4 linked regions of the Oreochromis niloticus genome follow. The protein of the gene in region 1 interacts with the protein of each later gene in a biochemical or structural test. Links are inferred from orthologs where the notes say so. Each region holds a gene or a part of one and is shown in the gene's direction. Other genes may lie near its edges. The genes, in order: crebbpa, ets1, ncoa6 and aire.

Evidence for each region.
Region 2: the proteins of crebbpa (region 1) and ets1 form a complex in vitro, tested with the Homo sapiens proteins (3 studies listed by BioGRID, with this or other methods). The link is inferred for Oreochromis niloticus from reciprocal best matches to the Homo sapiens genes CREBBP and ETS1.
Region 3: the proteins of crebbpa (region 1) and ncoa6 form a complex in vitro, tested with the Homo sapiens proteins (2 studies listed by BioGRID). The link is inferred for Oreochromis niloticus from reciprocal best matches to the Homo sapiens genes CREBBP and NCOA6.
Region 4: the proteins of crebbpa (region 1) and aire interact in far-western blotting, tested with the Homo sapiens proteins (2 studies listed by BioGRID). The link is inferred for Oreochromis niloticus from reciprocal best matches to the Homo sapiens genes CREBBP and AIRE.

What each region holds. Positions count from the first base shown.
Region 1 is NC_031971.2:30,620,786-30,628,366, reverse strand, and holds the start of crebbpa (CREB-binding protein), read left to right. Parts: upstream 1-4,566; 5' UTR 4,567-5,408; coding exon 5,409-5,496; intron 5,497-7,581. UniProt on the Homo sapiens protein: Acetylates histones, giving a specific tag for transcriptional activation. Mediates acetylation of histone H3 at 'Lys-18' and 'Lys-27' (H3K18ac and H3K27ac, respectively).
Region 2 is NC_031979.2:15,937,427-15,945,349, reverse strand, and holds the start of ets1 (protein C-ets-1), read left to right. Parts: upstream 1-4,918; 5' UTR 4,919-4,933; coding exon 4,934-5,105; intron 5,106-6,530; coding exon 6,531-6,607; intron 6,608-7,923. UniProt on the Homo sapiens protein: Transcription factor. Directly controls the expression of cytokine and chemokine genes in a wide variety of different cellular contexts. May control the differentiation, survival and proliferation of lymphoid cells.
Region 3 is NC_031984.2:16,681,518-16,689,499, reverse strand, and holds the start of ncoa6 (nuclear receptor coactivator 6), read left to right. Parts: upstream 1-4,977; 5' UTR 4,978-5,107; intron 5,108-7,982. Other genes in the region: ggt7 (glutathione hydrolase 7), read left to right, coding at 1-87, 182-319, 425-524, 2,190-2,362. UniProt on the Homo sapiens protein: Nuclear receptor coactivator that directly binds nuclear receptors and stimulates the transcriptional activities in a hormone-dependent fashion. Coactivates expression in an agonist- and AF2-dependent manner.
Region 4 is NC_031982.2:15,968,805-15,976,381, reverse strand, and holds the start of aire (autoimmune regulator), read left to right. Parts: upstream 1-4,577; 5' UTR 4,578-7,171; coding exon 7,172-7,369; intron 7,370-7,577. Other genes in the region: rab6bb (RAB6B, member RAS oncogene family b), read left to right, coding at 367-425, 1,015-1,068, 1,486-1,591, 1,744-1,855, 2,019-2,112, 2,684-2,750, 3,411-3,475. UniProt on the Homo sapiens protein: Transcription factor playing an essential role to promote self-tolerance in the thymus by regulating the expression of a wide array of self-antigens that have the commonality of being tissue-restricted in their expression pattern in the periphery, called tissue restricted antigens (TRA).

The sequences.
Region 1 (7,581 bases):
TCTTTGGCATGGAAGATAGACTGGTCACGTCAAAAACAAAACCAGTGGATGCAGTGGCTATAAGATTGTACTTGATGTCTTTCATGGGAGTGTTGCCTGAGTCCTGGGGCGGGTTTTACCTGTGTTGAGCACAGTAGTTTATGATGGCGAACGAGCTGAAAAGGGAAAGAGGGATTTGTTGGTGTTGTTGTTGTTGATGCTTTTGTTATTAAGTGCCTTCAGGACTAGAACAGTGAACAAAAATAAGAATACTGAACAAGTTTTAACAATGTTAGACTACAGAACAAGCTGTGGTTTCTTATTTCATGCTTTTATTTTGAATGCAAGTATTTCTTACAGAAATCATTATTGTTGTGCCATATCAACTGTTTTAACTTGATCAAAGTCCTGACCTTACTTAAGGGAAAATGATTTTAGATTTTATATAAGTGCCAATGCAGCATGACAGGCGGAGCTGGAAACTTTGGGAAGAATGAGGGAATCACATGAAGCAGTGTTAATTTATGTATTGTGCTTTGACATCAGGGCTTAATACAGTATTCATTTGTGCCAGAGTCTCACTTTCAAGGGACATGCAGGCTGCAGAGATTTTAGTTCGTGTAGCAGCTCAATGCACATTTTAAGCAAAGGTCTTGCACAGTGTTTTTCTTTTTTTCGACCACTTGTATTCAGTAGTTATTACCAATAAATAGCTTTTAAGAAACTTTAAACAGAGCTGAGAGAATCAAAACCACAAAATCTAATCAGACAAGGGACTATAGATCTGGAAGAAAGGTGGTTTTAAAAAGTGAGACCATCACAAATGCAGGAAGGCACTTTAAATATACTGGGATCTGTCTTTCAGGCATTAAACGCTCACCTCTCACACATGTCCAATTTTACAGGTAGTGTAAAATTGTCTCGATGCGAGCTAGCTGATATTTCAGCTTTTTCTTTGATCAGAACCACTCCTTTATATGGCGGGCTGCTTGGAAGACCAAATATCTCTCTGGTGATATTTTGTATTTTTGTTTTGACCAAATGAAAAGAATGAAGAGGAAGCCAGCAGCGTGTTGGCCTGTCTTTGAATACAGCCACTATCCCATTTGCTCCTACTGGAATCCTGATAAATAGCCAAAATACGAGAATCACTCTTTCAAACTACCATAAATTCAGCACTCCCATTTACCGCACTCACATCCACACCAACAACACAGATTTCACTCATTATTAATTATAAGAGAGTCCTAATAATGCTGGCAGGTAGTATGATACTTGCAAGTATTGCCAGTGCTTTAATTTTGTTTTCATTGGAGTCAGTAAGACAAATACAGAATATCACCATGTCCTCCGATGAGGTGAGCGCTTGATGCTCGAAGGATTTCAGGTGAAGTATAACTTTAAATGGGACTGTGAGGGACAATCACTGCGTAGTTCTTGGTCAGTGATGGGGTGGTCCACAGGCTGTTGGCGTCGGTGTCAATTTAGGGATGTGTGACAGTTTCCACAGTACTGTGTGTAAAACCTCAGACTTAAATCTTGTGACTTTTTTTTCGTTGCCTTCATTGCTAAAAGAAAAAAAAATTAAACAATGGTCAGTCCATCCGTGCAGATTACCCAACAGATCATTGTCATCTGCCTTTATCTTTGTGATTTGCTGTTGAAAGATTGGGACTTATTACCTTGATCCTGTCAGTGTTTTCACCAATCGGGGCCTCTACTGATTCAATAAAATTGTGCCACTTTAATTGAGTGATTATAGGTGCAGTGCAGCCTAATCTAGCTGATTGTTTGTGGTGCCTGAAAGTATGACTGTATTTTTTTTTTTCAGTTTTTGGTTTCCAGAAAGTTTTTTTCTTTCTTTTTTTTTTTTTTTTACCAAGCTGTCATTATGCTGAGGATAGATTGTGATTGTATATTTGAGAAAATTAATGGTCATTGTGTGCAGGTTTAGTTTCTTTTTTGATAAATTCCAGATATTTTTTTGTGCTGCTTTCCAGTTCTTTCCTCCTGACACAAACCAGCCATCTGGAAAAGTGTGGTGGCGCTCCCATTAAATCGCTTGCTCGTTTCCCGTTTCTCTTTCCTCACTTCGTGCTTTGTCTTTTCTCCTGAAAGCACGTGCTTCTCTCTTATATTTCCTAAGTGTGTGAGAGATATAAAGTTTTATGTCAACTCAATCATATAAAAAAGACAGAAATGGAGACAGTTTGCTATTGCCTTATCCATAGATTACTCATTTTCAGCTTTCACCACCACATGTTTTAAAAATGAGTCAGCATTTGGGTTAGATGGCCTTTCTCTGTTCAGAAATATGTCCACATGCAAAAATGCCAGAATGACAAGAAGGATGAGTTATGTAGCTGTCGGGACCTGTAGCAAAACATGTTTATTTACCTCTTTCACTAAGCTCTCTGGACATACACAGCCTGTGCCTTTTGAATGTGGACTATGTTTAATCATAGCATCAATTATCATAACCGTTGTAGCATTAATACCCTGAAAATCCAAAGAGGTTTCTCCAGAAGCCGTCACTGCAGACGCTGAAATAGTTAAGAGTCCTGCTTTTGTTGCCCAGAATCATTATTTTTTGAAAGATTTACACTACTTGTGCATTTTCTCCACTTGCTCTTGTTTGCCAGATCTAATGAAGCATAGCACACAATGTAACACAAACAAAGGAGACTATCGAGTATCAGCTGTGAAGGAAAGTTCACCGTCTTGTTGCCTTGCGTTGTTAGATGATCTATGGGATTTTCAGGCCATGTGCCTGCAGCCCTACCATGCACAGCAGTGACACTAACTAGCCATAGATCTGAGGTGGCGTAGGAAGAACTCCACAGGTTCATGGGTACACAACCTCTCCGGTAGCACTAATCTGTACACACACATATGAATAAAATATTACACGCTGCTGACTTATGTGACCTGGGGTGCAGTAGGGGGAGATGTGTGTGAGTGAGACTTGTTTGCATGTGAGTAGTTTCCTTCTTTGCTAGTCCTCTCCTTATTTTTAGTTTGATTCTGTACTATACTGTCATCCTATTTCATTTCAATGTCATTCTACATATATGTTAATTATTATGCATAGATTTCCAGTATTCAGGAAATTCAAATCACTAAGCTTTGCTCATTTAAGGTTACCTGAATACTGTCCTTATTTGACAGTGTATTTATAAATGATTTGTTTCAGTTTTGGCAGAAGATAGTTCTCCAGTTTAAAAAAGGATAAGTTCATGGCATTCAGTCATCTCTTTTTTTTCCTTTCTTTTCTTTTTGCAGAAGTGTGATTCTGCTTTATGACAGAGAAATAAGGGAAATACATAAAGGCATAGAGTGTCAGCACTTAAGCATCACATTGTCACTCATTTTAAATTATGTCAGCTGCACGTCTTTTCATTATAATTTGCAAGTAAATTCTACCCGTATGTGTTTTAAGTTACACTGGGACAGATTTTAAACAGTGTTGTTTGATTTGAAATGTATTTGTTTAATGTTCATGAATGAGATGTATAATGTACGTTTTGTGCACATTACCCATGTATCATTTATCAACACGTGATAGTAATCTGTACACATTTGCACAAAGCACTCAGTGTTTGTACATATGCAGTTATTTTGTCACATATGATTTTTTTATACATGTGCATGTGTCAGATTCTGTCCAAAAACAATGAATAAGAGACACATATTATCAGATTGATTTATTGTGTGTCTGTTTGCTTATGTGTGAGTTATATGACTTTATTCCTCTTTTTTTCAGTATGAGAGAAATAAATCTCCAAGCGGAAAGCTTGGACTGTCTAGCATACTGTGACGTGTAAAGTTACGTAGAGTTGAATTTCTGTGCATATAATGACTGATGACAGACTGTACTGTCATTTAGTTTTGCATTTGTAGAACTAAATAAGAGGTGAGGGAAGCAACTTAGAGATTCTCAAAAAGGCAACTTACAAATTGGACAGGTTTTAGGGAGGATTAGGCCTAACCTAAAAGGTCTCAAAATTGGAGACAGGGTTGTGATCTTTATCAGCAGCCAGCTGATGACTGAAGTTGGGGCACAGTTCATATTGACCAAGTGCATTTTAACTGCAAGAAGGTATGTTTTAATAATTTGTTGCAAACTGATAACAAAATTTAAAAGACAGTAAAATATGATTTAAAAAATGACGAATAAGTGGCTAGAAACTGAAAACTTTTGAGTATTTTTATTGTAGTCAAAAAAACTCCAATATCATGCAGAGATTCATATTTTTCCAGTTATTAAAGCAAATTCAGATCCTTGAAATGTACATTTTATATCTAATTTCTTTTTTCCAGAAAAAATCACGTGAGTTTGTAAAAATAAGGTAAAATATTTAAGTTTGCATTAAAACATCTTATAAATGATATTTCTTTTATATATTAATGTATATATTTTGCCCCAAGTTTACAAAAATAACTTAAAAGATAAGATCAAGTGGGTTGTAAAGTGCATGTGTGAATCACTGGTTGTGCTGTAGCGCCCCCAGCGGTCAGCGGTGATGGTGTTTTCACGTAGGGCGTGAATGCGCGGCCCCTCCCCCTCTACAGCCGATCTGGAAAAGAAAAAAAAACTTTTTTGTACCGAAGGAATCAACAGCCGCCATCTTGTCGTGGCTCGGAATTAGGATTTCGGTCCAACACTGGGTTTTACGTAGAAATCGAGCATCCTTCCCGTGGTATGACAGCGGCCTTCTGCCGAAAACGAAATCGTAATATCGCTTCGGAGACATTTTGTGCGAAAAAACGGGAATTGGATTGGTGGTCGTCGGGCAGAAAAGCTCCGTATATCTGATTTCCCCTTCAGAGTGCGGTGATTCAGCCCCTGTCGCCGTTCGGGAGCAGTATTGTTTACCGTGGGCAAGCGGAGAGCAGATCGTGACTTTCGAAGAGATTTGCAAAAATACGGCATTTTTATGCAATTGTGCATTTTTGTGGAGCTTCGCGCGATTTTTGCATGAAGAAATTTGACGTCACGCAAAATGGGTACTTTGAACATCTAGAAATTACGACTTTTCTCCCGGAATGCAGCAATCCACCTGATTTAACTGGATCGTCAGTGTGAGGCTCGATTTTTACATGGGGAATATTTTATTTTGGGGTATTTAACGATAATAATGTGGGTGTTGGGTGTTGGATTATCATGGGGTGAATGGCGGTGGCGAAGCGGGGCGCTATTGCATCTCTTTTAAAAGACACCGACTCTCACGGCGAGGAGTAGCTAAACGCTAACAGTTACTTTAGCTGGTAGCAGGCAATTAGCTAGCTATTAGCCAGTTAGCCAACGTTAGCAGGCTGCCAGCTTGCTAACGTGCTAACCGGGAAGGTTTTTGGTGATTGAACAACTTTCTACGTATAAGCTAATCAGAATCATCAACTTAAGCGACCGGCCAGGCAAGATTTCAACTATGGCTGAAAACCTGCTGGACGCCGGACCTCCACTCTCTAAGCGGCCGAAGCTGAATTCACCTGCCCTGTCAACGTCTGATGGACAAGGTAAAGGCCTCGATACTGTCGGCACACACAAACCCAAATGTAATGAACATTTGCACTTAAACTTCTCTTTTACTAATGGGCATTAAATCAGCCGATCCCATTGATGCAACGTTACACGTTATCCAGTCGGTTGGGTAGCAGTTACTGTGGTTTTACCGCAGTGTTGTGGTTTCATTCTGAGGTGAGCATTTACTGCACCTACCCTTAATACGCAAATGCCAGTCTTGGTACAGTCGCCTTGACTTCTGCAGCAAACCTTAACACAATACGATCAGCACAAGAACTCACCTGAGCGTCTAAAGTGGTCACGGCTACAACAACTCTAACTTTAAATTACCTGCAGCAAAAATAAAACTTCTGCTATCTTGAGAGGTGTTGCATTAGCTTTGCATTGCTGTACTGTAACGCTTTGAAAAACCACAAGACTAAAATGGCAATTATTTCTCGAATCAGGTGCAAGGTGGTGTTTTTTGTGGTAGCCTGACATTGCATTAACAGCAGGTACACATGGCATGATAGACCCACAGAGGTAACCTAGGCCCTAATTAGCTTAAATAATATTGTCTTCAAAATCACAAATCACATACCACTTAATGCCAATGTTTGTTCACCTGTTAAGACTAAGTCTGATGAAGTTTGCATCCATTTCCATTTATTTCAGGTACGATTTTAGGTGTGTGTAATCACGTGTCAGAGAAGAAAACGACTATTAACAGATACCATTTTGGTAGCTGTGCCCACTTGGTTCAGCTTGCGGCTATAAAACAACAACAAAAAAACAACCCTCACTCATCCCAATGGCCACTCCATCCATCCCTGAGCAAGCCTACATAGCCACACTCAGTCTGGATGGTGCTAGCTTCCTTTAACTTATTGAATTCTTGCAGAGAGTGCAGATATGGTTATAACGTCACATATCTCAGCAGACGTGGGCACTGCTGAAAAAAAATGTGTAGGAATGCAAGATAGAAATCTGTATGTGGCTCTGAGTATTGGAATTTGAGTGATTAGGAAATGCCTGTCTTGTATCTGTCATTTCTTGTAATTGGAAAGCAAAGATTGGGGATGTGAGTTCCCACCTGGCCCTAAAAAATCATTTTTATTATAAAACAAGACTAGTGCTTATTTTAAATCAACTTTTTGACTTGTTCTTCCAAAGTTGATAGCTGAAATTATAAAGTCATCTGGAGACTTAAAAAAAACCCTTGAGTAACGTGTCTTTTTCTTTCATCTGATTGACTGCGTGTTTTTGTTGAGGTGCTTCATGGGCCCTTAATGAAAACCTGAGTTATTGCAGCACTCTTAACCTGTCTGCAGTACTGTGTGGTAAAGGTGGAGTAGCTGAACTGCATTTCTGCAGCGCTCGCTGTTTCTGTGATGGGAAAATGTTGCTCCTGGTGTGAAGATACAAAAATGAGTTAATTTCATATCTTCAGCATAATCAGAAAGTAATGTATGCTTTACATGCAGAAGCACCCCGAATTACAGTTAAACTAGGGCTCGGCAATTAACCAATTTATAATTTCAATTCCTGATTTTGTGTTTCAGTGAAAACAAAGTGTTGGGGATAAAACAGTGGCCCTTTTAAACTTATTTTGACTGCAAAGGTCTCTCTCTCTTTCTTATTTTTCTCCCTTGTGCTGTACATGAAGCACAAACCTTTCATTTATAGTGCATATTTTTGCTGTTTGGTTCACTTCACGCCACAATGACATTTTAGCTGGAGCCCAACGTTAACAGCATCTCTCTAGAGTAGTTAAAAATCTCAATGTTTCCATTGGTGAACTTGTTGAATGATCATTAGCGGTTACATTTTTCACTGTATCAATCAAGGTCCTTCACCTGATCTGTTTTCTGTGCAACAGTTACACTTCCAAACATCCCCTGGGGATTTTTCACAAGTTTACAGGCTTTACGGTCAAGAATACCCATTAGTCTGGGCCTAACATGTACTACCAGACTCCCATGTGTCCTTCCTGCTCCCTTTGCCCATTGTTTTGGTTTTAATTTTTTTTTTTTTTTTTTTTTTTTTTTAAATTTAAACATATGAAAGGCTTCTGTGAAAATACACTGCATCCAAAATCC
Region 2 (7,923 bases), on another chromosome or scaffold:
TTATCATTTATTACGTGACACAAAAGTGTGTAAACAGTGTTTCTCTCATCAGCTGTGTGATGCTATCAGGGCACCCATAGGGCATCCTTATGCACTCTGCAAGAGCCTTATCCTTACTCAATGCTCTCCTCGGAGGAATAGCAGTGAAGGAAATCTTTCATGGAACACATTACTGGGCATCTCCATGAACTTTCATGTGATCACTACATTTTAAGTGTGCTGGACACTTAAAGAAGTGTTAATACATCAGATGCTTTTGTGCACATGCTAAAAGATGTTGCTCTAATCCAATTATGGATTAGTAGGTTGTATTGTGTGTTTTCCTTATTCCAAATTCAAGGGTCTAGCCTTCCATGAACTATAATTGCCCTTAAGTACTGTGATGCCAGCCTAAGCGTATACAATAGGCCTCTAAGCTGGCTCCACCTGTGTCAGATGAAGAAAACTCAGGTCACACAGGTACAGTATCCACCAGAGAACCAACTGTTCCGGATGACACATGCACAATTTTGCTTTATACCTGGCATAGCTTCAACAAGACTTTCTGCAGTCTTCTGCTAAATGTTAGCTGCTGGGAAATATACAGCAGTATTCATCTGTTTCTTTGACTAATAAGTGGGCTGGAGCCTATCTCGACTACCATAGAGACCGAGGACAGGTCATCAGGGCTGATAGTCATTCAAACATAAGCACAATTACATGTTTTTCCACAGCTAAGGTAACTTTCCCTTTACACTTATACTCATTATTCATACTCAACTTATCTGTTTCGTTTTACATCACATTTAAATACGATGACCCTGAGAGAAAACCGAGGAGGGCTTGGCTTAAACGACCTCTAGAAGACTTTTTGAATATTAACGAGAATAGCAGTTGACTGAGGTAAGTCGTTATAATTTAGTCCAGATCCCAGTAATTGTCAGTTGTGTCCCTAGCTGGCACGCTGAAAGTCAGAAACCTTGCCCCTCGACATGTAAGTCACTGTTTTTCTTGCTGCTCTAAACACGTTATCCCCCCCCCCCTCCCATGTTCTCCCTGTCCTGTCCGTCTCTCTCCCCATCTGTCTCCCCTGATTGCTCTCCCTCTACGTGCCTCCCAGGCCTGCCTCTCCACCTCTCCTCTCTCGCTCCAGCCCTTTCTTTCGCTGTCCTAATGAGAGCGTGCGTTACGCAGGCATTCAGAAAACCTCTGTTAATTACATGACAAGCATCTCGTTCTGGGACACTAATGAAGAGGGATAGCGAGCTGGAGACGCCACTGGAGTGGTGGTGCTGCGTGTATGTGTGTGTGCGTTGGTGTGGTGGTGCTGGTGAGGGTCAGTGCTCACCACTGGGTGGGGTGTTTGAACATGTGTGTGTGAGTATGTGTGTGTTTGAGGGGGGTAGGGATGGGGATTTTGGCGCCAGGCCAGCAGCTTATCAACCAGTGAAAGTTGGACTGTGCATCGAGTCCTCTCCCTACATCTTCAGACTGCTTGCCTTTCATCTTACTACACTCCCATCTTTTTTTTTTCTTTTAGTGTAAAACATCAGTGTTTTGATTTGTTTTTCCTAAGCACCATTACATTTGCACTTATCAAAGAATGCATTAGCTTTGAACAGCTTTGACTATGACACACACAACTGCTCGATATCCTGATATCGTGAGCTGTGCTGGCCTTTTTTTGGGGGGGGTGGGGGTAAAAGACCAAATGCATAGTGTTAGCTTCAGCACGAATCAGCTTGTTATGGAATTAATTAAACAAAGTATTGACTGGCAAAAAAGCAAGAGCTACAGTTCGTGCACACACATAGCTTACAGATAAATCCACACACAGAGGAGTCAGAAGACCAGCGGGGAAAGAGAGCACGAGAGGGAGAGAGAGAGAAGACCTAGGCAGAAGTCCAGCGACTCAGCATGTGATTTGGAGGAACTTCTCTGTCAAGAGGCACACTCGAACAGAAGATTGCTGTCCCGTACCATCCCTCGTGAAACGCTTGAGAAACACAAACCATCTGGAGGCTATAGTGCACACTCTCAACCCATCAAATATTGAGGATGTTTGTCTGATTTACAGAGCCTATTTAGAACTGTTTGGACAACTTGGCTGAAGGATTGGTGCCTTAATTAAAAATAATATCAAGAGCTAATATTGCCCCCGAGACCTTTGCCTCGCAGTCAACAGTGCAACAAAGTCACGGTTCTGTGGCTGAAGATGAAAATCTGAGCCACAAGCGCTTCTAAACGAGTATAGTCAGGCCCGAAACAAAGGCTTCTCCACATTCGTGATTTCACTGAGGTTACTGTCCCATGTGCCCCCCCACCCCCACCCCTTTTTCTGTCTGCTGATGCCAATAGCAACGTAGGCTGTTCTAGGCCCAAGTCCACCACAGTGATGGCATATTGATACTGTCATAAAACATTACATTCTTACTTTATTCATTAGAACTGCGCTTTAATCTAAAAATATCATGGGCAGAGAATAAAACAGAGTTTTCAACAGCAGAAAGATTAGGCCTGCACTTCTCTCGCTGAGCACCACAGCTCGGAAACACTGAGGCCCAAAATAGATGTTCCTCTCATAAAGGGCTCCTTCTTTGTAGTCGACATACAGCAACAACATCTGCAGGGCAGTTTCTATGGGGGGAACAGATTCGGGCAGGCTATCAAAGAGAGGCGATCTCCTGTGAGAAGTGGTGGGTGGAGGACTTCCATATTCTCCCTCTCTGTCTGTCTCTCTCCTTCTTTTTTTGTTCTCCTCCCTCGCTCTTTTTATCTTGCGCTTCCAAAAAATCTGTAGCAATCAGGACGATGCTAATAAAAGACCATTAATATCACCTGTCAGTGCTATCTTTGGAAGATCCAAATTGAGAAAATGAGACAAAAGGATTCATAGTCTGGAGCTGCTCAACAAGATGTGGGGTACCAGTGGAGGACAAACGGCTGCAGCATTTGAGCAGTGAGCTGACAGGAAACCATCAAGAAAACAAGAAGGATGATGAATATTCCTATATATCGCAGCTAAAAGGAAAAACGTAGTTAAAGTGATGCTTTAGAACAGTGTAATTTCAGTATAAATATTACCATATTTTATATAAGGGGTTGTGTATCAATATGGGCTGTACATAATGCTGTCATGACCTTTAGTTCACATGGTTTTAGATAAAAGAAAAACAAGAAAAAAATGTATTAAACATTGTTCTTCTAGTAAAATAACCCAACATAAGTTTAATTCAGAGCTGATGCAGATGCAGTTCAAACCAAGAGAGTGATTGTAAAGGTTGTAAAATCCTGCAGGTTGTTTGACTGATGGTTTTCACCGACTGCGATGGCAAGGCGTTCACTATCTGTTTAATGTAAAACATGAGCACAGCCAGCAGACAGGCTGAGGCTCTGAGCGGAAAAAGATGGCACCGTAATGGGGAGGTGAAAGGCAAGGGGCAAAGTGATGATAGTAGCTTCATGCAGAGCAGAAGTGTATCTGGGGCCTCGCCTTTGAACTGGTGAGCCGGCTAATTGAAACAGCATTGCCAGGGCATCGGCTGAAGATCTGGATCTCATTCACCCCTGCTTTTATTCAATTTGGTTTCATCACGGGGGCGCGTCTCGTGCTTTTTCTCTCCACATGGCAATAAGTCATACCCTCGCCTTTTGCCCTCGACGTGTTGCCCATCTGTGTCCCCTGGGGGCCCAGAGTGCTGAGGCCCTGAGAACACCAAGGGATTCAGATGAGGTCTTGAGAAAGCCCCTTATGGTACTTCTTCACGCCTCTCACCTTGGACTTGACCCCCACCCCACATCCCCACAGCTCTTCACTCACTCACACACACACACACACACACACACACACACACACACACACACACACACACCTCTTTACCCCCCAGACTTAAGATTTACTGGTAAGAGCAGTGGTTGTCAGGAGGTTTGGACCGTGCACTTTCTAATTCAAACAAATGCGGCACTGGGGTCACGCTATTATCATGGAGCCACAAGGTGTTTCAGATGCCTCGCAAGTGTTGAGTGCTGAGCTGATAGAGAGAGAGAAGAGGGGAGAAGAAGCAGTCGGGGAGGGGGCTGGCGCTTCATGCTGTTAGGGAGCAATGCAGTGGAAAGCTTGTGAGTTTCCAGCGTGGAAATAAGCAAACAAATGCGGCAATGAATAAGCAAATAGACAGATAAGACTCCGCACTCTCGATTAGTTATCACTATCCTCTATCAGAACAGGTGGATGTAGATTTTGCCTTGTAGTCGGGGAAGGGGGGGCTTCTCATTTCGCAGAAGAGCAGTCAGTGTTTCTACCACAGCTTTAATCAGTGTCCCGCATGCATGCAGTTAAAGGTTGGAGAATGATATGATGGTCAGTGATGTACAGTAAATAAATATGCAGGTGCTTTCTGCTAAGACAAATTGATCTGACAGCCACAGTTTCCTTTAAAAGGTAATTTCAGCCTAGGTTGATGCCAGATCTGAGAAGTCTGGGATACTGTGCCAGGTTATACCGACAATACAAGGATGTAAAATTGCTGCTTGACACACATGCTCAGACATCTGAGATTGTTGTTTTAAAGAGAGAGAGAGAAAGAAATTGCATTTGTCAGACAAATAACGGTGTCAGAGGACAACATCACAGGAAAGTCAACAGTTGCAATCATAGTCAAAACCTTTGTTTTTTGCCTCCCTGCTGTTTCCCCCCTGTCATGACTCTGACAGAGGAAGAGGAACAAACAAACCAAAAAAAAAAAAAGGAAATAAACAAACCTAAATCTAATTTAGCTAAAAAAAAATACACTATTATATTTAGTGAAAGAGAATACAGATATTATAAGCTTTTGAAACACAAGCTGACTGAAAATAGAGGAAAGCATGGCAGCACAGCCTCTCTACAAGTTTACACCTACTCTGGCTGCATGCGAACCACATGTGAAGTCCAAAGACTACATACAGAGGAAAAATGGGATTTGGAGAGGATCACCGTAGGACTGAGGGAGGGACTAAAAGTGTGCATATCATTTCTTCCTCCGTGGGATTCGCTGCGAGGCAGGTACAGCATCTCTGCAGTCCACCGCTCAGCTGTCACACTCAGCTGTCCAGCGCTCACAGGAAACTTTTAAACACCGCAGTCGGTAAGTGCAAAGTTGTTGTTTTTTCTTCTCCTTTTCTTTCTGCATCTTCTTACAGGTCAGTGGTAGAATAAGAAGACGCTGTTATTATCTGCGCTCGTCGCTCCTTTGATCCACAAGAGGGAAAGTGTTGGCTTTAAAGTTTTAGTTTTTTCCCGTCAGGAATTCTTCCGAATGCGTGACGCGTTGTTTCCGACCTGTTCCACCTTTACTTATTTTGCGCATAAAAAGTTGCCTTAACGTTTTTGTTTTATTTTATTTTCTCTGAAGAAAAGAAATTTCAGGATTGCTAATTGCCTTCAATTAGCGGGGTTTAGACTGACTTCTAACAGAGCTCCGAAATGTAGCTTCATATATAAATAGCATCTCTTTATATGACTAAATGTGGAGTTAGACCCATATGGATGTTTTATCTAGCACTGATTTATTGATTTTTTATTTTTTTGCCTTTTTCTCAATAAATCAGAGAGACTTGAACGGCTAAAAGTAGGCATGCGTTTGAATGACAGAAGTAATTATTCACTTTGTGCTATTTTTTTCTTTCTACGGGAATAAAAGCATTTGAATCTTTTTTTAATTTTATTTATTTATTTATTTTGATATGCCGAACATCTGCAAGCATTGAGCGGCTGCACATCTTTCTGTCAGCAGCTGCCACAGACTAGAAATGCCAAATTGCTTAACATATGAATGTGACGAAGATGAGACCTGTATGAAACACAACACTGCCCATATCACAACCCACCTCTAATGCAGTCCTTCAGTTCACTTTTCAGTCTCTTTTGTTGGTGCTGCTTTGAGTAAACAATGTTAAGTGATAAGCAGAAGCGTGGAGGAGGGCGGCAAGGAGAGGAGGAGGAGGAGGAGGAGGAAGGAGGGTGAAGGAGAAGAGGAGGAAGAAGCGAGGTAGATGAAAGGAGGAGGCAGACTGGTGTAATGGGAGGGAGGAAGACAGTGGAAGAAGTGGTGGAAATGTTAGATTCGCTCAGTGGATGGATTTACTTCAGCTGAAATCCATTTTTGTTGAGAACATCCAAAGATTTTCTTAAAAAAATAACATCCTGTCAGACTTAAACCATGAAGTAGCGCAATGTGAGATATTGATTGATTGACTACATGTCAACAGAAATAAGGTAACACAAATATATATTGTAAATCAAAAACAAATGTAAAAAATGACATGATGACAAGATGTTGTATTTTTTTAAAAACAGCTCAAATTTCTATTTCCCCGTATTATCTCATCTCTTTTTTGACCCCCTTTCCTCTCCCAGCTTTTCCTCTCTCACACACCTATGCATACATGCACATATACCATGGACCTGCACACACAAAGTGTAAACAGCGTGTGACGGATAGGCTGCTTCTCTCTGCCTGCACTGTTTGTACGTTGATCCCTTCAGCAGGCCCTGCTTCTCCTGTCCACAGTGTCCGTGATGAGTTACTACATGGATCCAGTTTCTTCCTACCCAGCCCTTCACCCCTGTGACCGTCTGGGCACACTGGTAAGACCTCCCTCGTAAATTATCTCTGTGTTAAGACTGCCTTGGCTACCTACCACACAGCCATCCACGAGTGTGAGTGAATGAGCATTTGTGTGTGTGTGTGCAAACTGCTCAGTGCAGGAATGTGTGCAGGAGCATTAGAGTGGTGTTCTTGTCAGTGTATTAGCAACTCTGGATTCCATCACCTTACAGGAGGATACTCTATTTCTTTTTTAGTTCACTCCACCAGGGTTTGCAGTAATAGTGCCTGTATCTGTACATGCTGTTCCTCATGATTTCATCAAAAGTTAGGAAACAGAGCTGTTGAACAAGACAATTCTCTACACGGCTGTGAAATTGCCCTTTCGAGCTCCTCTGTGTTGCACAACAAGCCTGCACCGTGTACTTCTCTTTAGCAAGTAATATTGTAAATAATGAGACCTAGGCCTCCAGCCTTGGCACTAACCAATCAAACTGGAGTCAGGCAATCCCAGCAGACCAGCACTTTTCTCAGCTCAGCCACCCGCGCTGTGCTTTGCAGCAGTGTGTTTGCAAGAACCCTTAACACTTTCCAAATGGTAGCGCTGAATACAAAGTCAGAGACAGTTGCTGGGAACATTGGGATTCCTGTCAGGTGAGCATTTGAAGGGTGAAGGCCAGTGTGCTGCAAAATAAATGCCTCCATTTGTATGCAGAGCACCAGCACATTAGGATAATAGACTGAGGTTACATGCAAATGGCAACCCCACCCCGTTCTAATACAAAACACAGAATGATCCCTCTCCCTGTTTCCTAATTGGCTCAGGTGGTGGGGCTTGCCTTTGAAATTGAGACTACTGTATACAAGGGCAGCTTGGTCAAAAGGTGAGCCCATGTCACCTCGGTAGTTTTATTCTCTTGAATTTACATAAATTATCAGCAAAAAGCAAAGGCTCTGATATTTTTTTTCTCTCTTTAAGACAATATCTAAGTTCTATGTATTCCACAAAGGCAGTATGCAGAAAACAGCTGCAAAAAAAAAAGAAAAACTCAAAGAATCAAACAGCTTGTTGAAAATGAAATGGATACAAATGCAATTAGTTTCATTTGTAACTGTAAACCTTACCTTTTGTAATGCATTGAATTAGTCCTTTTCTTTACATATCTTTTGTTCACACAAACGGCACAAATAATGAACACAATGAAAGAACCCCAGACATGAAGGATGGAGTGAACAGCAGCAGGTTGCAAGGGCTGTGCCCAGAATCACTCATTACCTCCACAATATATGAAGACCACTCATTGTTTTACTCAAAAGTGAGTTGCAAATTTAGATTTTGGATATTTATGCACTCCAT
Region 3 (7,982 bases), on another chromosome or scaffold:
ATAGTGACTCCTTCAGGAATCCTTTTGAATAGTCAGATTCTGGACTTCTCATGGACTAATAAAACACAGGGCTCATCGCCTAACCCAGTAATTGCAACTTTTTTGTTTCAGTGTTAATGTATTTGTTCTTAACACATTTGCAGAATCTCTCATGGATGTTGTTTTCTTTTGGTTGGTGTAGCATAACAACCTCCACCCTGGGAAAAGACCCATGTCCTTCTTGATGCCCACAGCAGTGAGGCCAGCCGTGGGGTTATGTGGCACATACGTAGCTGTTGGATCATCCAATGGAGAGAAGGCTCTCAGTGGCATAACACAGGTTGCTTAATTACTGGAGGAATTTGTAACTATCGTAGTTATTTTCATCAGTGTGGAAATACACGTTGACAGAAGTTTACTTTGATGTTATTCTCATCCTTCATAGGTGCTGATGAATGTTTTGTCTTCACGTAAAAACATGAGTGACAGTTTAGCATATGGAAGACTCCACCCGCAGCTGGAGCCCAACACCCTCCTAGTGGACTGTGAGTTTTTCTTACTGATAGACACTTTTATCAGGTTTGATCCAAGCATAACAGTGTTGGTTCATGATTACTGCTATGACATGCAGTAAACACCATGCAAAGAGACATGTAGGACCCTTGTACCACTGCTTATTTTGTCTTCAGGTTGTGTTCTCTGTGTACACTATGCAAAGTAGAGGAGGAGCAGGAAAAGCAGCAGGTACTTCTGCTGTCATGGAAAGCAGATGCCAAGGTTTAGTGTTTCCATGGAACAGTAAAGTGTCTTAGTTAAAAGATCAGTCTTCTGTAGTTTTAGTAGGATGTAGCATAAATGGACTGGACTGGTACTTATATAGCACTTCTCTAACTGAGCACTCAAAGTGGTTTTTACTACACGCCTAATTCTTTCAGTCACACACACATACACAGCGCTTTCATTCTATGCCTTAAAGCGCTTTGTCTTGCATTTGCACACACCCTCACACTCAGACTGATCCATGGAGAGCAGCTTGGCCGGTGATCAAACCACCAACCTTCCAATCAGTGGACGACCTGAGCCACACCCACCCCCTAAATCTTAATTTCATATGTGGAAATCCCACGAGAATTTTGTGTTACGTCCAGGATTTATGAATAATAATATTGAATCAGTAGCCACTTTATTAGTTATACATAGACTAACAGATACTAAGATAAGATAAGATAACCTTTATTAGTCCCACACGTGGGAAATTTGTTGGACTACAGAAGAAAAGCATTGCCTGCTCTGATGAGTCTGATGAGTCTTGATTTGTGCTGCAGCATTTAGACAACAGAGTCATACTTTGGCAACATGAATTCATGGATCTGGTCCTGGTGGTGTAAAGATGTAGTGGATATTTTCTCGCCACACTTTGGGCCACTTAGTAAGAATTAAGCCTCATTTAAATGTCTCAGCTTACCTAAGTATTGTTGGTAACTGTTATGACCACAGTGTACACACCTTCTGCTGGCTGTCCATGTAATCTAGCAACTTAGTGCATGGGCTCTTAGAAAAGAAGAAAGCTTGGCAGCTCTACATCTATGATTGCCTGGGAAAATTGTGAAGATGAATACTGTGTTACAAAAAACAGACAGATGAATTATCTGGTTTATTAGAAATACACTTTATTGTCCTCTGGCTCTGTTGATATTAACAAGAGGGGTAAACTACTAACTGAAAGCTTCTAGATAGATCCAACTAATCTACAAAAATTTTTTAAAAATATTTGTGAAAAAAACCCCAATATTTGGCTCCAATCAGTTCACTAAAGTACAAAAGAAAAATGTGTCCAGCTAATCTAGGTAGCCTGAATCTATTGGTATTAATCCAAAGGTATCCTAATGTAGAATCATGAATTATCATATGGTTGAATTAATGGTCCATCTCTTAGCTACCAGAGCTTATTGACTGGTAGATGAGCAGCAGAGTGATGATCATTGGCTCAATCAGAGCCTCTGCTGCCTTCTACCTTGTCTTAATCTTGCCCTTGAATCTGTGTCATAAGTCAAAAGCCAGAAAACACATGCTTGGTTACAAACCTGATATACTAGGTCCTTGTACAGTTAGAGTTTAACCACACTGTGATCCCACAGCTACTGTTTTTATTAGCTCAACATTATGTTAGTACCATCTTCTGTCTCACACTTTCTCTTTCTCTCTTGCAGCCAAGTTTTTAGAAGAGGATGTGGAGGGGCTGGAAGCCAAAGGTCACATAGTTGAGAAAAGAGATATTTTGTCATTGGTGGAGGGCACACGGAGAACTAATGACCTCATCATTGGAGTGAAGGACCCCCGTAGTGCTGATGCCTCTGCCCTTACTATGTCCAATATGCCTTAGTGCATCCGTCCAATCGTACAAACATATAATGCCAAGATAGTAAGACTTACTCTGTATGACGCCTAAAGAGAGAGTGAGGAGGCTGCTGATCAGATAAAGATAACCAAAAGATTCTGAAAGGGATCCTGGATAGCTAATTTGTTTTGCTCACAAGAATACTAAAATGGTCACCATCTTGCATATCAATTACTCTACCACATCCTCATGTAACGTCCAGTCACGGTGTACATAGTGTTGAAAATGTGTGTTCAGTACCCTTACCCTTAGTGGCATCAGTCTGCAGCCTGCATTATGCAGAGCAGGGTAAAGAAATGTTAGGTGTGCTCATAACTTATTATCCAACACACTCCAGGTCGGTGGTGAAAACTGTAATCTTTAAAGGTTAGAAATTATTGGGTGTAGCAGCTAGTTTAGACCTGAGCGAGAGGTTTTATGTAAATTAACAAAAGTAATGATGCCATGAAGTCACCATTTAAACAGCACATGCATGGTGCAAAGTGCATATGAGTCACCGGATTGCTTTTCATCTCTTGCACTACATTTCACCATTAAACCAGATCGCGTGTGAGATCAAATGGAGTGGTGAAGGTGATAGTATTTACACCAGTGATTAAGCCGTGTATTGTCACACATGAACAAGACTGTCCTGAACTGAACACAGAGGCTAAAGCTTTTACTCTCCTGCTCGTTATATGGTGTGTAACTGTGATTAGATGTTGTTTGGTACAGCTGCTGCAGCTTTAACTGTTGCAAACAAACAGTGACTCTCTGGACCATTTTTAAGACTAGCAAACGCATTATATGTCGTACACAAATGTGATGAGACCGTCCTATCTCAATCAATTTCCCTCATCAAGTGGATATGATTCCGTTTAAAAGGTTTTAAATATCAGTTACTGTAGAGTGAACGTATTTAAATACATAATTTAAGACATTTGAGTTGTTGCATGATTTTGTTCTCACTTTGAACCTGTGAAGGCTTTTTTTCTTTTTTTTTTAGAGCTGGTACACTTGTTCCTAAATTTGGATTAATCAAATTCTTTAGAGATGGAATGAATGTAATGACTATTTTTATATGAACATTTGTTGTGCTGTACACATTATTTCTACTGTTGGAGCATTGCATTCACTCGGCACATATTTAGGAAGGGATGTTCTGTTTACTTTTTGCCTACTTTTGTTGTTATATTAGCTAGAATATTTCAGGAGCCAGCAACTTTTGTAAATCATTGCACTTGAACACAAAATGTGTTTGATCTTTGCATCCAGAATGGCCAGTGCTGACTAATCAAATTGGGGTTTTCACCTTGTTTTCTCCCTCACCAGTGCAATATGACTGTTGATGCTTGTTTCCAGTACTGCAGAGTACCATGCCTTAAGGCACACATTTGCACAGTCTGATGTTGCACCTGCCTCTTTGTTTCTTTGTTTGTTCATGTTTGCTGATTTTAACAAAAATCAGCACTGTTCAGACCCAACAAATAAAATGTTTGCACACATCCTAAACATTAAGGATTGTTTATCTCTTTTTGAGCCTTCATACACTGAGCAAAACACTTGAGCCACCACCTATTTCTGTCAGATTTTTTTTTTTTTTGTAATTTTTAAAAAGTGATCTTGAGCAGTAGTTCTCCAGGGTTTTTGAAGACTTTTCAAAGTTTTTCTTTGAACGTTACCACACATTTTCGTTCCTATCTTTTTAACTCACAGTTTTCTGAGGAATCTGTTTTTCTCAGTTAAATCATTTGACACTGACCTGTGAATCATTCAAACAACAAAAACCTTAGCAAAGGATTTTTAATTGTATCTTTAACTGACTATGAAAAATGCAAAATATAGCAGATTGATTGGCATAAAATTGTATTTTCACATTTAACAAGGTGATTCCCAGAGTGTGTGGAGTGTATCCTTAAAATAAATTGAGTAAACTGGACAAGTGGAGGACAGAAGAAGTGCCAGGCTGAGAAAACTACGTACCCCAGATAAAGAGTATCTCAAAGACGTGTCCTTAACAAAAAGAGAAAAGAAATCCACTAAAGAGCTGACACAAGACCTGACAGATGCATCTATTCCTGCAGTTAATACATCTACTGAAGCATCATTGCAAATGGTTTCAGTGTTTCTGTCAAGAAATCATTAAGGAAGGGAAATGGAGAGAAAATGTTTAGGGATGTCAAATTACACAAGACCTGAACTTAAAATCAGTAGCAAATGGTATATGGGGTCTAGTTTTTAATTACTAATATTATGTGATCTATTAATACAAAAACAACAATAAACATTAGTCATACCCGTGAAAATTACAAAATACTTTCTCTACTCAAAGTTGTGTGTTTTTCCCACAAACTGACCACTCCAAAATGGACTGTCAGGTCAAATGTGTGATACTGACAGAATTCCATAATGCTTTCTAAAGTGGTAGTAACTAGCAATGTGACAACCCCACTACCTTTTAAAATTATTCAGCTGCTATTTTACAAAAACGAATTATGAAATAATAATAATAATAATTATTATTATTATTATTATTGTTATTATTAAAATTTTAGAATTATGTAATTTTTTTTTATTTACTTCAGTTACTTTTATTACAAAAAACGTTACTTCCTCGGTTTTTATTTTGAAAATCATCGCCGGAAGTTGTAACTTGGCTGTAAATTTACACTGTATTTGATTCATGTTTTGTTAGCTAATCTAGCAAGCAGATGCCGACTGCTTCAACTTATTTTCAGATGAATATATGTGGTAAGGCTTTTGCTTTTCTTAGGCCTATTTTACTTATCATAATATGTTGTAAGCTAAACTTAGCGAATTGGAAAGCTAATGCATTGCGTTTCAATGCATTCATGCTGAATTACCTTCTGTGCTATCCAGCTAACGTAGCTAACGATCGCGAACTGGAGCCTCTGGAGAAGCCAGGGGGGACAGCCTTGACGTTAATTTATCCTCTTTCATAGTGTGGTGAAAACCGTGTTACTTTCGGCTATTAAGTGTTCTCAAGAGGGCAAGAAAATGCACAGCAGCATAGGATAGGGGGAATATGTGGTCGCCCTGGGGATTTTGATCGCTTTACGTTAGCTTATGTTTGCGCTAAGGCCCGTGCTACTGCTGGGCCGTTGTTGTAAAGCAAGTTACGGTTCATGGCAGTAAATGTATGTGTTGTAAGACTTTAATTGGCAGTAATGTAAATTAAGCTGCACTTTAAATAACCCTGCCTCTTACAGAGCAATTTTCTGTTATTTGACATGTCTTCGATAATAAGTTCACCATCACCGGTCAAAGTGACGTCATTGTATTACAGGTGTGTTAACGTATGATTTGCAGTGATGGCCATTTACATACTTGCTGTACTGTGCCATTGTCTTGAGCCACTACTTATTTCTGTTCAGTTTGCTTGGAAAATGATGCAGAAATTTAGTTAAACTTGCGGAAATATACAGTATATGAGGTAAAAGCAGAGTTTGTACAATTCTAACAAACTTGAAAGTCAACATTTGATATGACCATCTTTATTCTTGAACACAGCGTAAACTCTTAGGCAAGCTTTCTTTTATTCAAGTCATTTCCTTAAGTAGCCTTTAGGAATAGTTCTATGGAACAGGCCTAACAATCATGCCACCGTGCTACTGTATAGTGGATGAAAATCTGGTGCTTTTCTCCAATGTCGCCCCAAACCAAGACAGAGTTTCCACTGTGTTTTACAGATGGTTGTGGGTACTTTTTCTCTCTCTGACTTCTCTCATACATTATCTGGCATTTGACACAGACTAACCTTTTGCCACGCTTGCACTGGTGCACCTAACTTCTTTTCTTAGGTGCACAAGCACAAAAGAACAGCTTGATATCTTATGGACTATGCTCCATTGCTGTCACATGCCCCTCAGATGGCCAACTACTGTAATTTGGCCTTCTTGATCAATTCGAAACGTATTAGCACCAGTCACAAATGCAGTATTGCCGGCCATGGTCTTTCCACACTCACAAAAGTAAATGCAGTGCATCATGTTGTCAGCTTTACTGTATCTTAGCCAGGAAACTTTCAGTGGGCTCTGGCTCGGAGTTGATCATATGTGGCTCATTATCTGATGCTGTCTCCGGACCAGTATTAGACATAACCTGAGATGTTGATGGCTCCATGTCAGAGCACTGGCTATGAATTTCAGACAGATCATGCCTTAACTTAACGAAAAAGTTATCAGTCGTTCTTTTCATCTTTTCTACATCCACTTCTATCAGCCTAGGCTACTTGCCTCTCTCTATCTGCCTGCACTTTCAAACGTACACACATGTAAGCTTACAGGAATATCGGGACCACGGGCAATCAGAGAGGTCCTGCCCTTGACTATCTGTGATTGGTTTAGACCACGATCTGGGCATAATGTGTGTCTGTTGTTGACCACTCTGAGACTTTTTTTTCTTTTACTCGAATGGCTGGTTGCACCGGTGCGACCTAGGATGTTTTTTTTAGTCACACCATTTTGAAATTAGGTCACATGTGTGACCAAATTGGTCACAGTTGCGCTCCAGAGCTCTGCAGAACTTTCAAATTTCAGTTCATCACTCTGTAAGTTCATCACTCTGGTTTTTGGTCCATTTCATGTGTAATTTGGCATACCTCTGCCTTTTTTCCTTAAGAATTGTACTCTTCTTTTGCATTATGTAGTTTAGTTTAGGACTGTCATTTCTGTTGTACCTCACCTTTTTAAGGACACATCTTTTTTGTTTCACCTCAAAGGCATGGGAACAAATGATGTTTTTGCAACAGGCTGCTTGTAGAGCTGGGTGATATAAGATTTTTTCATATCACGATATGTTTTTTTCATTTCAGGCGATAACGATATATATCACGATATAAGCCAAATAACTACATTTGTAAGATTTAAATGTGCCGTTGCTCACAAGTAAAATGTGAAATAATTAGCAGCTTGTTTTAATTTAAATATTTATTTCCCATAATAAGTTCAACAGGGTAGATGTACTTAAGGAACATGAGACTTCAGTTTCAGATAAATAAAGGCAAATATTGCAAACTACACAAAAGGCAGCCGCTAAAGCGTTTAAGTTTCAAAATAGAACAAACAAAACAGACTACTAAATTGTCAATTCCACTTAGAAACAAAATTTTAATTCTAGAAAATAAATCTTAGTTTGTTTTACAGAAGAACAGACAAAATTGACTAACTTTTGTCAATATCAAATAAACTGAGAACTAAAAGGAAATTCTCAATCTCTCCTTGTTGTATAGCTTAGCTTTTCAAACAGTTTTAACAGTTACTTTAGTCTGACAAAAGCCGAATGACGAATTAGCGCTTTCAGCCAGAGATTGAGCATGCACCGCTTTATTGTATTTCCAGACTTGCTTTCGGCACAATTTACAGTGCGGGCTACTCTGTTTTTTGTCAGACTTGAAATAGCCGAAATACCTTCACACTACGGAACTTCTGTGGCCATTCTGTTCGACAAGCTCTCCAGCATTGGAACCATCATCGGTTTTTTCTTTGGTAACCTTTGGTCACGCTCTCGGTTGATTTTTCTCTAGTCGGCACACTCATTTCCTCCATTACCCAGGCAGCCCGGCTGGCTGCTTCCCAAACAAATACACATGTGCGCCTTGACACTT
Region 4 (7,577 bases), on another chromosome or scaffold:
ATGAAGAGAAACATTTACACATTTGATAACAGGAAATCTAAGATAACAGATTTTTCTTGCTTACTTTGAACTGAAATCCATTTTGCTGCCCTTATTTTGAGCTATTCATTGATTCATAATCACATATTAACTCAGGCATATTTTTGGTGAATTACCGGGCAGATTTTGTTCCAGTGAGTCATGGATTTTTTCTCCCCCCTCCTTCATTTCTTTTCATTTTTACTGGCTTGATAGCTGGCGCTGGTTAAATATTCATATATAACTGTGGTGTTGTCACATCAATGAAGCATATTTTCATTATGTTGATTGAGATCATATATCGATGTGTCTGGACCCTGAAACCAACCTGTGTGTGCTCTGTTTTAGTGGGGAAAACGTCTCTCATCACTAGATTCATGTATGACAGCTTCGACAACACATATCAGGTGAGATCTGGAACAGATCCAGAACCTAAAAACAATTTTAAATTATTAAGCAGCATTGATTGATGGCGTTGCTGATTAGCATCTATACGAAAGAGGTATTGGTGGTATTGCTTATAACTGTAAAAGAAATTCAATTTTTCTTTTGAATGTTGAAGGTTAATATGGGACCGTTATTGCAGCGAGTGCTTTTTGGTCAAAAACACTCAGTATATTAGATTTTCACGAATTATGTCCTGATCTGAATCATGCCATTTATTCAAACATGATCAGGAACAGCATTGCAGCACTATTAGTTTCTTTAAGAAGAGAAAATATATCATTCCCTCCTTCGCCTTTCTCAGAAGTTTGGTACATAACAAGTCTGAAGGATTGGGCCCTGAGGGCAGCACAAATTAAATTAGTGTTTCAGTCTGATTCAATTTCTGTGCTTGTTGGCTCCCTTTTCCCCCCCCTTTCTTAACAGCTTTATGTATTTGAACAAAAATCACTCTGCTAGGAACAACAGATGGTGGAGAGAAACATTTAAATTTTAATGATTGGGTTTTTGCTGATGATTTTCTCCCCCTCTTTTGTTCTTTCCTCTCCACAGGCGACCATTGGAATTGACTTCCTATCGAAGACAATGTACCTGGAGGACCGGACAGTAGGAAACCTTGATCTTCATTTTTAAAATTCTCATTTCTAAATACATGCGCAGATGACTTGAGGTTTTAAGTAGGAAACAGCCCAATTTCTTCTCTGCTTTGACTAATCCTTGATTTGATTTGCTTAATTATTCCCTTCCGTCACACACTAATGTGATTATGTTATGGTTATTTCTGGTAGTAACAGCTTTGGTGAGCTGACTTTTCTGGCCCTAATAACTCAGAGCCTTACCCATGGATCATCTGCTTTAGCCAGTATTAATACTTTTTCTTTGTCAGGATATTATTGTGCTCTGCCAGCCTGCACAGGAGCTGATACTGGCTTATCCTCCTGGAAGTGTACTTATAGGCTGTGTGTGGTGTGGCAGTTTATGCTGAAGGCGTGTGTGTGTGTCTGTGTGTGTGCACACATGCAGGTAAGGCTGCAGCTGTGGGACACAGCTGGACAAGAGCGTTTCAGGAGCCTCATTCCGAGCTACATACGAGACTCGACGGTGGCTGTGGTTGTCTATGACATTACAAGTAAGCAGAAAGCTGTAGCCTGTATATGATGCAGGTGATACAGTTGTGTGTTTCTGTGTTAAACAGACAAACACTTGAGTAAAAATATATAGTTTTTGTTGTGTTTTTGAGACAAAAAAGCCGGATGTAATAGGAAACTCTGGGCTCCACAGATGTAAATTCATTCCAGCAGACCTGCAAATGGATTGACGATGTCAGGACAGAGAGAGGAAGTGATGTCATCATCATGCTAGTAGGCAACAAGACAGACCTGGAAGAGAAAAGGTAAAGATAGTGGCTTGTAATCATCTCTAACATTTAGCTACAGTCGAGTGATCTTTGACGCGGAGGTTTGGTTCCTTAAATGAGCAAAAAAGCTGTTTGAAGCAACACGTCACTGCCGAATGAATTAGCCCGAGATGCTGAGTCTGGCCTGATTTTCCTGCAGGCAAATCACGATCGAGGAAGGAGAGCAGAGAGCCAAAGAACTGAACGTCATGTTCATCGAGACCAGTGCCAAGACAGGCTGCAATGTCAAACAGGTGATCCCTGCAGTTTTACCAGATTTCACAGCATTTTTGCCATCACTTGATTTCAGAGTCTCTGCCAATCCCCAAATCCCTCCAAGGTGACCACGCCACCACACAGACCCGGTGTGGATAAATCAAACGTTTAAATATGTACAATGTTGGTAAAATGTGCGTTCCGTATTTAGTTCTTGCTGGCTAAAGATGAATGAAAAGAAAAAACAAAAGCTAGTTTACCGATATCTATCTAGTACATTTACTCAACTACTGCACTTAAGCACACATCGAAGGCACTAACATTTAATGTTACTAGCTATACCACTTAACATCCAGTACAATTTTGGAAAATATCAAACTTTCTACTTCAATAGATTCATCTTACTGCTGTAGTTATATTTTAGAAATTCAAAATTTTAAAGTAAATCTTCCTCAAGAGTATAAAAGTTCAAATCAGGCCAGCTTCAACAAGCACTAGTGAACATTTTTGTGTTGCATTGCCCCCCCCCCCCCCATTTTTACATTTTACCATTTTTTCAAGCCTGCTGCCTCCTGCTCTCTAACCTCCTCCCTCTTGTTCTCCTCCTAGCTGTTTCGTCGAGTTGCAGCAGCCCTACCTGGAATGGAAAGCCTGGACGATGCAAATCCTGAAGGCAGTATCCTTTACAGCCGCCGTGACTCACCATGCCGATAGCCAAACAGCCCAGCAATAGGCGGCTTATTTTTAATCTCTTAGTGGCTGCTGGCACACGTACAGACAGACTGCCGAGGAATCGGCCATTAAGCCTTTTATGCTTAATAATGGAGGAATACACAGAGCCAGGAAGATGGTGTGGATGCACAGGCACAGCACCACATAGTGGCTGATTGGGAAGTGACAGCAGAGGAGGGTGTGTGATGGAGGATGGTTGTGTAAGGAAGGTGAGGGATTCTTATCAATAAATGGGAATTATTATATGGAAACTTACAAACCAAGAAACATTTAACTTTAAAGATGTGCCCTTAAATTGTAGTATAACATATGGATTTGTCTATACTATACTATGAAGCTCAACATATTTTGGTTTGTCTACAAGTCTTGAGGATTGTGGGGAAAACATGGGGCAAAGTTTTTGGGGCCTCAGATGGAGCTGCGTAACATTGGATCAGACAAAAAACTACAACTATGGAGGGGAAGGAGATAGAAACAAGTAATTGTAGCATACAGGACTTGAGTCCGCATTAGCTTACGGGAATCTATGACTATCATTTTTGGCATGTATAGGCCAAATAGTTTACTTCGCCATGTGACTTTTCCTTAACGTGCCAATTTCCAGTGATTGACATCAAGCTGGACAAACCAGCGGAACCAGCTGTGCCCGAGGGCGGGTGCTCATGTTAATGCAGAGCTGCACTTGGACAGCTCCCTTCACACCATAGGCTTGTTGTGTTGCTTACTACTGGTTAGCTTCCAGTTGACTTCTCCAATTGGATATAGGATGTGGGCCTTGTATCTGATTGGACAAATCAAATGTTATCTTTCAGTCTTGTTCAGTTGTAAAATATTGTATACTTTGTCAATATGTAAGTGACTGGAGGAGAAAAGGGAAGAAAACAATTGTTGCAATGAAAATGAACACACACACACTGAAAAAAAAACAGTTTGGAGAAAAATGAGGAAACCAATGGAGTTCTTTTCGCTGTTATGTTTTGTATTTTTTATATATAAAAAGGGAAAGCACCAAAAATGATGCCTAAACACAGAAGGAGAAATAGCAGGAGGGTCGGCCATTTTTCTAAATAGCTGAACATGTCTGAATGTCTGCAGCACGCATGCACGCTGATCTGATCTTTGACCTTTGGCCTGCCCTCCAGGGTCTCCGTACTCTGGAAGGAGGCTGACTATCTTAGAATGTTTTATAGCATCTCTCTATAGCATCTCATGACAAGACGTATCTCATTTGATATTCCCACAACTTCCAGTAGGATCACCTAACAGTAGCTGTGAAAATGTGGCACTCTATCTCTCTATGGGTTTAACTTTTATAGAACAAACTGTACTGTGGTTAAAAAAGAAGTAATAAAGAGACAACTTACTATCACAACTCCCTAACCCTCCTAAAAGTCCTCTCCTCTTCCTTCTCTCCTCCCGCTATCCTTCTGTCCTTCCAGTCTCCCCATCCCTCCATCCCGGTAATACACATATAACAATCCACTGTAATGCACCGCACTGTATATAATAATGTAATATGTATGTTGTGAACGTCCCTCTGTAGAAGTGGTCCTTGTTCACCAGTATGAATAATGTAATAATGTTTAATGATTAATAAATTACAGATTAAAGGGCTTCACTCTCCTAACCATCAACATTTACCTGGTAGCAAAATTATCTACTCTTCTATTTTATTTACTTTCTGTTTTTTCTGAGAAAATGTGAGATATGGCAAGTTGTTGAGAGTTTCCACAAGCAGGTTTAAACCACTACACTAGTTACATTAAATAGAAAACGACAGAATATATTTAAAGTGATTAATAACTAGTAATTGAATAAAATACGCAGCTACATTTACACAGCACTTATTTTTCTTGGGAACAAATGGGTTAGTAACGGCTAAGATACGCTAAGACACTGATAGCATCTAAGCTAAAGCTATGAACACAATCTGACCTTAGATATGCAGCATTTACTTACAATATATAGTGTTTAGTTATGTTGTATGCCATGTTTTTGTGTTTTTAATAACTAAATATGAAAATGTAATGAGCACTTCATGTGTGCTTATGCAGATATCAGTTGTTAACTGGTAGCTAGGCATTTTAGCTGTTATCTAACTCTTAACATTAACAACCAGTAAAAAACACTAAAAAGTGTAGCCTCACCTGTTTGATGTTTTATATGAGAACCCTTTCGTGACATTGCCTGGTGACATAAATTGAAATTATATTTGCTTTACCTCATAGGAAACCTCAATTGACATTTTAGCTACAGTTTAGCTTAATTAGCTAACTGGTTGGAAAAGAGACAAACTATGGACCATTCCTAAAACATGAAAACATTCATAACTTCCTCACAACTATGAAATCAAAATTAACAACAGTAGTCTCTGAGAATAAGCGACTGGACCAGTATAATCTCAGACCCTTCCAGATGCCTGTATTACGCATTAGCTCACCATACTCAGGGTGTCTCTCCATTATCTGAATCACTTAGCCTAACATTGGAAATCAGGATAAGCCGCCACATGAAGATGGTTTTTCAAAGGAAGATGAAACTGATGAGAAAATACGAAGTCTGAAAGCAACACAGCAGTGTGTATGAGAGTAAAAACACCCCAGAGTAATATCATATTAACAGTATGTGGCTTAAGTGCTTTATCCTGTAAGACTGGAAAAGAGCAGCAATATTAATAATGTTTTTCCAGGAACAAAAGCCGGTGAAAATACAGATTGTGTAAGTTAACAGATTCATCAATATTAGCAGCTCTATCATTAAGACATGGGAGAACCTGATGGATTATAAAAAGTATTTCATTAAATTAATGTTTAAAAGATAGTTTTAGTTTTTATTCTTTCAGCTGAACCCCCAATGATGTTTAAAGGCCTGAAAGTAAATAATAAATACAAAAATAAAATACAAACTTAGGTGATGCACAAATTTGTATAAGGTCAGGTGCTCTGTTTAGGATCATATATTGCTTATGGAACAATAATATTGTTGTCAAATTGTTTGCAACCAACAGGAAAAAAAATCCAATAAACTAAGTTGCCCAAGACTCTATAGCAGTACTGATGGTCACCAGGGGAAGCACAAAGACTTTTGTGCTGTACTATTCCACAGGTCGGAGAGTTCTTCTGGAGAACTGATTGGGCAGCAAGCAGTTATTAGGTACTAGTTGATCTCTAACCTGAAACTACAGGTAGCATATTAACTATAAGTCACCTTACCCGTTACCATATATCCTGGTAAGAAATGATCCACCTTCACAGTACTGTAAACTCAGGGTTAATCCTGAAGTCACCCAGATAAGATTAAATCCTGCTTCATAATACAGGCCTCAGGTCTCTGTATCTCATTTACAAACGAGGCAGTTGTTATTGAGACTTTTAAAGAATCTAAAACTTGAATTCTTTGCTGCGGGAGATTTTATACTGACCTTGTCACGTTTTTGGATGACCATTTCCCCCTCATATGGTTTGGCACACAAACCACAGATGATTTTTTTGGCTACTAAAGCAGTAGCCTTTTTAATGCTAAACTTAGTTGCAGTGAACTAAGGGACTTAGTGAGCATATTTCTCAAGCTACCCAGTTGTCTCCTAACCTTATTTATGAGTTAAAGTAATTGGCATTTAGACTTAATGGATATTTACATGACATGAAATTGAATTAGTGGAAACTGCAGGCAAATGCTCTCTAGTAAAAGGCAAGCCCCAAGCCTTAACCTTAGACGATTTTTATTTTATCATTCTCTTGTATATTTGGAGGAGAGACCGGTTCCTCTTTGTTTAGGCCTTTTTAGTAGAATAATGAGAAATAGAGGAACAAACTAACAGAATAACAACTGAGGAAAATAGGCATAAAGCATAGTAGGCTACCAGTCATGCAATCAGTCTGTCAGTCATTAAACTGTTTACAGTGTTAATGTTCTCCTGCCTGTGGCGAAGTCATAATTATCACACGAATGCGGAGTTCCCTGTGGTGAGTCAGTGTGTGAAAACCTGACAGGTGAGGGGAAGTTGAGGTGGAAAGAACCTTTTAAGAAGAAAACTGTCGCACATCAGGTCACTTCACTCTGCTCTCCTGATGTAAGAGGACAGGTATTCCCCTGGATGAAGGCCGTTAGTGCTGTTAGTGGACAAATGAACTGAAAAGAGACAAAAGGTCCAGGGCTGGCCTCCCTGGAGGGAAGTCTCAGAAATGAAAGGCTAGTAGCTTCATTTTTTTTCATAGAGTCATAGATGCGTTATTAAAAGCACAAACACAGGATGAAAAAAATAGAGGAGTTTTTAAGATATGGCTTATGCATCTATGCAATCAGCATGAAGCAGTGCACCTTCCCTGTGAGCGACACACCCCCCACATCTGAAATTCTTCATCTATGATCTCAAACCGTGTCAGGTCATTTCTCACTTGCACACAAAAGAAGATCATGTCAAGAGTCGAGGCGTTTAGGGACACAAACCTCCGCTCGCTGCTGAGGGAGCTGCGAACTGACATCGCTATGGCTGTGGATGACCCTTTCCCCCTGGTCTATGGTTTGGCGGATAAAAACATCATCACAGAGCAACTGCTGAAGGTACGAAACTGAACAGAGATTGGATATCGGTATTAATTGTGTAAACGTTAATTTTGATTTGAAATATTTTTTAATGCTATTTTAAGCAAGTATCGGGTACGGCACTATCCAACATTACAAATATACTGAGTTAACCTGACAAATTAGTATTATTTTTAAATAACAATTAACAATTAATAACAATTAAATATAATTGCTTATAAGTGAA